Regions from separate parts of the Mus musculus genome. Here region 1 is reported to be linked to region 2. The links are microRNA targets in miRTarBase. Many come from high-throughput screens and were not tested one by one. Region 2 holds a microRNA gene; the other region holds the end of a gene's coding sequence.
Evidence for each region. Region 2 holds the annotated microRNA mmu-miR-759 (GCAGAGUGCAAACAAUUUUGAC, at 2,185-2,206, shown strand). A microRNA usually pairs through its seed, bases 2 to 8, with sites in the 3' UTR of a target mRNA and lowers its output. Matches are read on the target gene's strand: a 7mer-m8 pairs with bases 2 to 8, a 7mer-A1 pairs with bases 2 to 7 and ends in A, and an 8mer does both.

Region 1: the mRNA of Gngt1 is a reported target of mmu-miR-759. Seed matches in the 3' UTR shown: 7mer-m8 at 776-782.

The regions. Positions count from the first base shown.
Region 1 is chr6:3,996,377-4,000,444 of GRCm38, forward strand. It overlaps Gngt1 (guanine nucleotide binding protein (G protein), gamma transducing activity polypeptide 1), which reads left to right. Exons shown (of 3, transcript NM_010314.3): 3 at 276-1,060. The coding sequence ends at 404. Among named protein-coding and RNA genes, the nearest start is that of Gngt1, 4.4 kb to the left of the region's middle.
Region 2 is chr14:79,736,276-79,740,343 of GRCm38, forward strand. It overlaps Mir759 (microRNA 759), which reads left to right and starts at 2,156; the gene lies at 2,156-2,253.

The sequences.
Region 1 (4,068 bases), not on the chromosome of region 2:
GAGAAATCTCCCACTTGTGTTTCCTTGACAAAGTTAGAGGAAGGGCCTGTTAGGAAATGTTAGCTCAAGGGTCAGCTTTCTATCTTCTGGAGACATCTAAAAGGGAAGTGTGGGAATGATTTTTTCCCACCCTGGAAAAGACGTGTGCAATGGCAGAAAACAGATGGAATCATCTTCAAAAGCTGTGACATAGAAATATATTGTAATAAATACATTTGTATCGTCTGCAGAATTCTGTTCTTATTCTGAGTTATCTCTGTCTCCTTCCTTTTAAGGTTTCCAAATGTTGTGAAGAAGTGAGAGATTATATTGAAGAAAGGTCTGGAGAAGACCCTCTAGTGAAGGGGATTCCAGAAGACAAAAACCCCTTCAAGGAACTCAAAGGAGGCTGTGTGATTTCATAGGCGGGAAGGCATTTTCTTAGAATATTTAGAATTTTAATGATAATGCAAACTGTTCTCCTATATAATTAAACTGTGTATGTTGTTTAAATTATTAAATTTTAATAAAAATAAAGATGTAATAATATGTAAACTCATTTTTTCATGAAGTATTTCACATAAGGTTTAACAAGGAATTAGGTGTAATATCGATGAACCCTGCTTTAGAAGCAGTGTATTCTAAACTGCCTTTGCAGTTTTATATTCCTTCATTTTTCTTTCAATATTAATGATACTTTTCTAGAACTTTTTTTTGTTTATCTGTTTTTTTTGTTTTTTGTTTGTTTGTTTTTCAAGACAGGATTTCTCTGTGCAGTCCTAGCTGTCCTGGAAATCACTCTGTAGACCAGGCTGGCCTCGAACTCAGAAATCCACCTGCCTCTGCCTCCCAAGTGCTGGTATTAAAGGCGTGCGCCACAACCGCTCGGCCTCTTCTAGAATTTTTATAGTTAAACATATTTTATTCTCAATTTTCTCACAGGCCTACAAAGATTATTGTTTCAATACGCGGATAATTTATTTTAGCAAAAAACTATGTATATATATACTTTATATGTACTGTATATTGTAGTATATTGTATACTACATATTGCCTATTATATATAATATACATTAATTATTGAAACTTTTTCAGTTGTTTCTTTTTTCCCTCACCCCAATCAATAGGGCTATTGTTAACATAGTTTCGTGTACATTCTTACTCAGTTCTACCTGTCACTAATGATGTGACTTTTTTCCAGAGTGCCAACTGTATTAAGAGTTCTGTCTGTGGTCACAGAACATAGTGAATTTAACCAGTTATGAGCACAGGGTTTGGAGACATAGAAGTTGGCCTTTGCCACTTTCCTGCTTAACCGAATTTGATGCTTTCATGCTTCTTCCTAAGGCATGGTTTCTTCTCTATGAAGATGAAGATAATACTGGTTGTGGATACAACTAAAATGCTCAGCATATATTGTCTGACACATGGTGAGACACAGTAACATTTAGCTATGAACCATCACAAATTAGAAAAAGAACTAGAAAAAAAAAACTTTCAAGATGTTATCAGTTATAACCCTTTCCATTCCATTCCCATAAAAGGTCCTCACTATCACAGTGCATACCATGCTTAGGGCAAGTCACACAAAACAGGCATTGCAGCCACCATGTCTCTGGTTCTGTAAGAAACAACAGGTATAATTACATAAAGCAAAGCATTTTATTATCATTGTCTCCTAATTGCTACCTCCCATGGACAGTGAATTTTGAATACTTTAGTCATCAGAATACCACAAGACAAAGTGATGCCCATCCCTTCGGTGATAGAAAGCAAACTGTGTACTATTTATTGGTTCTGGCTGACAGTCTGAAGGTCCACTCAGTGTTCTCCCACTAGATCATAGGAAATAGTCAACCCAACCCATTTTCTCCCAAACAGGCAAACTATAGACTCAGGATGTCTGGCAGACGTCTGAGGTCAGGGCTCAGGATCATGGGCTGATGTCGACATCCTTTTCTGAGTGTCTTCATTTGAGAAACCATATGTTATAAAGACTCCAGGGTAAATTATGCAATCTCATCAATTTTTCCTAAGGAGAAATTACTTTTCTTCTACTGAGAAGTACAAAAGTCAATTATTCCACCGACCCCAGCATTTCCATCTATTGTCTTTACTCCCTGTTCCTCCATAGCAACATCACCACCCATTTTACTATTACATGTAATTATTTCTTGGACTGAAGTCTGTCTTTAGGGGTTTTCCACCCACAAGTTAGTGTTTATTTAACAAACAGTTCCATATTTCCTTTCTGTTCTAATTGAATGCAAAGTCTTTGTTAGGACATTCAGCAACAGGCAAAGCAGACTCTAAATGCATATCTCTAGTTTCTATCCTACACCTTGATACAGATGTTGAAGTCTGATGGTTCAAAGTTAAAACCTCAGTTCATCTCCTGCATGGAGAATTTTGAACAAGCAAATATAACTCTTTGAAATGTATAAAATGAACTAAGGATGATCTTTATTTGGGTTTTGTAATCTCTTAGCTCAGAAACAGTCACATAGAAACCTTAATGAAATTCACTGCTGTAATCCCCGTAGAGTCCCTGTATAAATAAGAATAGCTGCCAGGGTACCCTGATCTTCCCATTAAAAATTGGTCAAGTTGATCTCCTCACCTGAAAGGTCTCCCAACTCCATTTCGGCCTGTCTTTTTTTTAGATAATTTCTTATGCCCCCTCAAGATTATATTTATATACTTTGAAGTCATTTAATATTACTTTACTTTGAAATATAATTTTAGAGTCTTCATTTAAATGTGATATCATAATTTTCCAAAGCCTAAAGTTTGTAACAGCCAAACCTATCACAAATTGTTACTAGAATTAGACTGACTTCATTAATATTTAATTCGACTAAAAACAGAAAAGCATATACTTGCCAAATGTTTATAGTGGGCAAGGCAGAATTCTTATGTACTACGTTAAGTTTATTATTGAATAAAAATACATATTGTTGGATTTTCAATAAGCAAGAACACAAAGGAGAGAATGGCAGAGGAAGATATCCAGACAGAAGGAAACGAAGCTGTGACTGTCCCCCAGACAGCACAGCTGCCGCTGACAGTGACTCTGTTTTCTTTAGAAACTGTCATTTCAGAGCCAGGGGTTACTTGGTTCAGGGGAGTTGGCTAATGCAGTCAAAAGCAAAACAAAAAACAAAGAACAACAAAATCTCCTAGAATGCCTCACTGTTTGGCTCTTCAACAAAGCCTGGTGGCGTGTTAGTAAGCATGAGTAATTATACAATGCATCATTTGAATCACATACACTTTGCGGTGCAGCTTGTAGGGCAGTTCACGGTGTAGCGAAAGACAGAGAGGAAGACCAAGATGAAGACCAAGAAGAGGAGCCAGAAGAGGAGGGGGAACAGCCCAGTCTTATTTGGATTGAGTGGATTTTAGTCAATTTTCTGAAAATTCTGATCACAAATTTCATCAGTTCCAAAACAGAGTCATATGTGAAAGCTGGTTACGTTTGACTACCAGAATTATCATTTGTGATAGGGTCTTAAAGTCTTATATGAACATCATAGAGGAAGGAACTGGTTGGTATAGCAAGTTACAAATGCCTGTGGAGGTGTTCTGGGACTTGAAGGCATCTCTGTCTAAAACAGGAAGCACATGCAAATGCTTAGCCTTGAATGAACATATAGTTCTACAAGTTGTCCTGCGATTGCTTTTTTTTTTTCAAATCAAACTCCTATAAATATCAAATGAATCCAGAGCAAAACACTTATGTGCTAAAATACCTTTCTTAAACCGTCATTTTAATAACCTATGCTATTATCATTTATTTTTATGATTTCAGAAGGCAGATTTTGGGATGTGACCTAGTTTGTTTTTTTCCTAGAAAAGAGAAGCAGAAACGAATGTGGATTTTTTTTTATTCTTTTATTTTTTTATTATTTTAACACACATGATAACATAAGGTCCAGAATACTGTTCCAAGAATTCAAATTAGCATTTTTTTTACTGCAACATAACTTCTTTTGATGTTTTTATAAAGAACCTCCTTCATATGATTTTTAGCAGTAAACTTGATATATTTGGAAGAGAATTTTTAAAAATTTTAAGTTTTAAAAGTTT
Region 2 (4,068 bases):
GTTGGTCTTATTTTATTAGTATTAAACACATTTAATTCCATACATCCCAGCTAAGAAAAAGCTCATCTTCAATGGTTGCTAAAAAAACTAAACAGAGATTTGGAGTTAAGACAAACTGCCTTGAGGAGCTGTGAGTGTGGCTGTTTACATGTGACTTCGGGCATCTTCCTCCATCAGGTGGGTCTCTCAGCTGACTGTTGTACTTAGCAGTCCGGCTAGTCTACCTACCCAGCTTTCCCTCTAAACCTCAGCTTGGGCATCTACACACAGAGGGGAGAATGCCAGGTTTTTTTCCTTATTAAGGTTGTAGTAAGAGTCGCTACAAGCATGCAACTTACTGTCCGGCTCATCGTGAATTCTCAGTCATGATGCTACTTGTAACTAACTTTCTAAAGTGTGGTTTGAAACAGTCTAATCACAAACCTCAAGCATTAAAAAAAAAAAATCCTCAGTACAGATGTTACCTGGGAAAGGATTTTTATCTTTTATTTCTTAGTTCGTCCTCTCGGTTAGCATTCGGCTAAATAAGATTCTGAATACTCACCTCCTAGACCGGGCTTTCACAGAAAACCCTCTCCTGGGTCTCAACTACAGCACTGTCTGGAAAAAAAAAAAATAAAAAAATAAAGCCGTACTGCTCACGGTTGATTGCTTTGAGAAATAGCACATTGGCAGGATTTCTTCCCTTCCCCCACCAGCCAGGCTTGGGGGTAGATAGAGCTTCACTATGGAATCCGACTGGGCTTCAGATACCAACAGCCTGGAATGTTTCAGGGGAAGACCTTGAATGGTCTCCAAGCAGGGAATGGAGGCTGAGAGAGCCAGATTTTCAGTCTTGAAGGACCCTTGATTAGTTCCCCAAAACAGAACAATCAGTTTCCAGTGACCTTGCCTGGTATATTTTGACAAAACATTTGCCGATTAACGGAATCTCATTCTCTTCCCGACTAGGTGGCTTGGATCTACTCTTCTGTGTCTGGAAAGATCACTGCACGAGATGTCTGGGACAGGAGGAAGCAGCCCCACTGCTTTCTATCACTAAGGAAGGGGAGATCTAGTGTGTTTGCATAACCACAGTCCTTAACATCTTTCTCTTTGTCTCAACACATTTTCTTTGAGCAGGAGCTGTTGAGGTAGCTCCACCCATTTTCCAGTTTCCAAGATATTTGTGACAAAACAAGAAGGAATCTTTATTAAAATGTGAAAGTGGACTGTCCAAATGGCTCAGTAGGTAAAGATACTTGCCATGTAAATCTCTCGACTTGGAGTTACGTCTCCACAACCCACTTAGGTGGAAGGAGAGAACTGACTTCTACAAAGCTGTCCTCTGACATTCAGTTGTGGACTGACACACACACACACACACACACACACACACACACACACACACACACACAGACACACACACACACACACACACACAGACACACACACAAACACACCACTGTCTCTTACTTAGGATTAGTAGATGTCTGTGTTTTCAAGTGAGTTGGGGAGGAGGAGGTAGGTTACCCAGGGTCATGGTATTATAGAAGTCAGGTTTGGGGGTGGAGGTTGGGGGGGGGTGCCAATAGGCAGGCGCAGTAGACCTTCACTGCCACCTTGTGGTCACCTGGGACCCCAGAGGGTCATTTTTCTGGACTGTCTTCCTCACTCTCTTAGGCCGCCAGCCTGAAACCTCTCCCACTGTATCTGGTGTTATTTCAATGGATCTTTTGTTATAGTTTTTTCTTACCAGTGCACTTTAACTTTAGGGGGAATTGCGGAAAGCCAGCACATTTCTATATTCTGAAAAAAAAATATTTGCGGGGAAGAAGAGGTCAGGTTCCATGAGGGCTCTTTAAGACGAAACGGCTCAAAGCCTTGCAAGGTTCCTGTTTCTTCAGGCTGCAGCCAGTCTCAGCTGCAGCAGAGATGCTCAGGGCAGAAGGCAGGCCCTGGGGTGGCACCTGTCTTTGTTATCACCTGGTCAATTGGGGAAGTCAGGACAGAGGAGGATCCGTTCATTATCTCATTTATCACCCTCGTCTGTGGTCCAAATTAGTTCTCACATCAGATTCTGATAGTATCAGATTCAATATCATCAGCTGGAATATGAACGGTATTTTTCAGCACACACACAAAAAAATGACTTTCAAGGCATGTATTATGGGCAGGATTATAATAAATTAAATGCCTAAACTGGCAGAGTGCAAACAATTTTGACTCAGATCTAAATGTTTGCACTGGCTGTTTAAACATTTAATTTGTTCCAATGGAGGTAGCAGCACAGACTAAGCATGCTAATTAAACTCGGGCTTTGGCAACGTGAGTCATCTCGTGGACACAAAGCGCGACAAACCAGGACGGAGAAAGCCATTACGTGTGGTTTCCTCGTTCTCCAAATGAACACTGTACATCCTTCAACCCTGCAGACATTAGTAATTGTTAATGAATTGTTCCATCTTTCTGAAGTGACTTTTAGATGATGCTGTGCTACTGTTACTCTGGGAAACAACTTTGCTAATTAAGTTGCAGGGAAGTTCATCAACTACAGATAATTGGTTAAAGTGATTACGTGGATAATCTGTTTCATGTTCCATTAAAAATGGAAAATGTACAGAGGAGGAGGGATACGAATGACAAGGCATCTTGCCCAAAATAATTGCCTCCACTGCCCTCAAATCACTACCACCACCATCATCAACTACATCATCACACCTTTTGGGGCAGGGGGAATGCTCAGGCATGATTCTCTTGACTGGTCTTGGTTCTGCTACGGATTGATAGAGCATGCTGGCTAAGTCTTCTCTAAGCTTCCGGTTCCTTTGTAAAATGAGGGCATTCTTGTGCTAAATTAGGGCTAAGTGATCTATTTCCCAAATGCAGTGATTTAAATAGGAAAGCAGTTCGACTCTCTTTTAGAAGTATCTCAGGTATTTGGGGCTGGCAGGGGAGCACTCCATTCTCTCACTACAAAGCCTTTGGTAGCTCCCCAATGCCTGCAGAGCCACGTTCAAAGCTGCTCACCATCTGACCCCAGTCTACACTTCTAACTTCATCCTCCTTAGCCTGTCTGCTTGAATCTGTCTTTAATGTGCTGCTCCGCCCACCTGGAATGCCCATCTCTCCTTCACCTCCGCACTTTATTCTGTCTTTATGATCTGCACTCCTTCAAATGCTCCTTCGTAAATCTGTGTAATTATTCTCTTGCCTCTGGCTGACCCCTGCTATAGCATTCATTGTCTTTTCCTTCTAATTCTGATATTTTTGGCTCCATGTCCAATTTCATTTCTTATTCATACAAACAGCACTCATGTTTCTGGAGACAGAAAACTGTATGTTATTTATGTTATTATAAATAATATTAATTATATTATTATGTAGAAAACAGTATATTATTTATCTCTTGGGATTTTTTTTTAAAGACTTCATGTATCTCAGGCTAACCCAGAACTCTATGTAGGTGAGGATGACCCAGAGCTGCCTTTTCCACATCTCGAGTCCTGGAGTTACAGGTCTAATTTATGACGTGCTAGGGAGCAAAGTTGGGGCAAAATGTTCTTCTCAACTGAACTACATTCCCAGTCTTTACCTCCTTTATCTTTATTCCCCATCCCTCTCTTATTCCTTCCTTTGATATCTAGCATTGTTCTGTGTGCAAAAATAACAGCAATAATAATTAAAATTAAATTAAATTAAATTTAAAAAGAATGTTGAACTAAATGCAACAAAATGTTGTTCCAGATTAAAAAAAAACAACCCAGTCACCAAATAGCAACCGTTTGTTAACTCAAGGGGCCAATTAGGCAATGGGTTATTCATTGGAAAATTCCAGATGTGAATCACAACCGTTCCAATTAGATTTACATCCTGTGTTAAACTAAGAACAGCAAACAGAAATAACTCCTTGGGCCCCACATCCATGTGGAATAGTGTGCCACTCAGTTCATTAGGAAGACAGCTTTCTGGAGATGGCTGTTTTTTTTTTTTTTTTTTTTTTTTTTAATTTTGTTCACGGGATGGAGAGATGGCTCAGTGGTTATGTGCTCTGGCTGCTCCTCTAGAGAATCTAGGTTCCATTTCCAG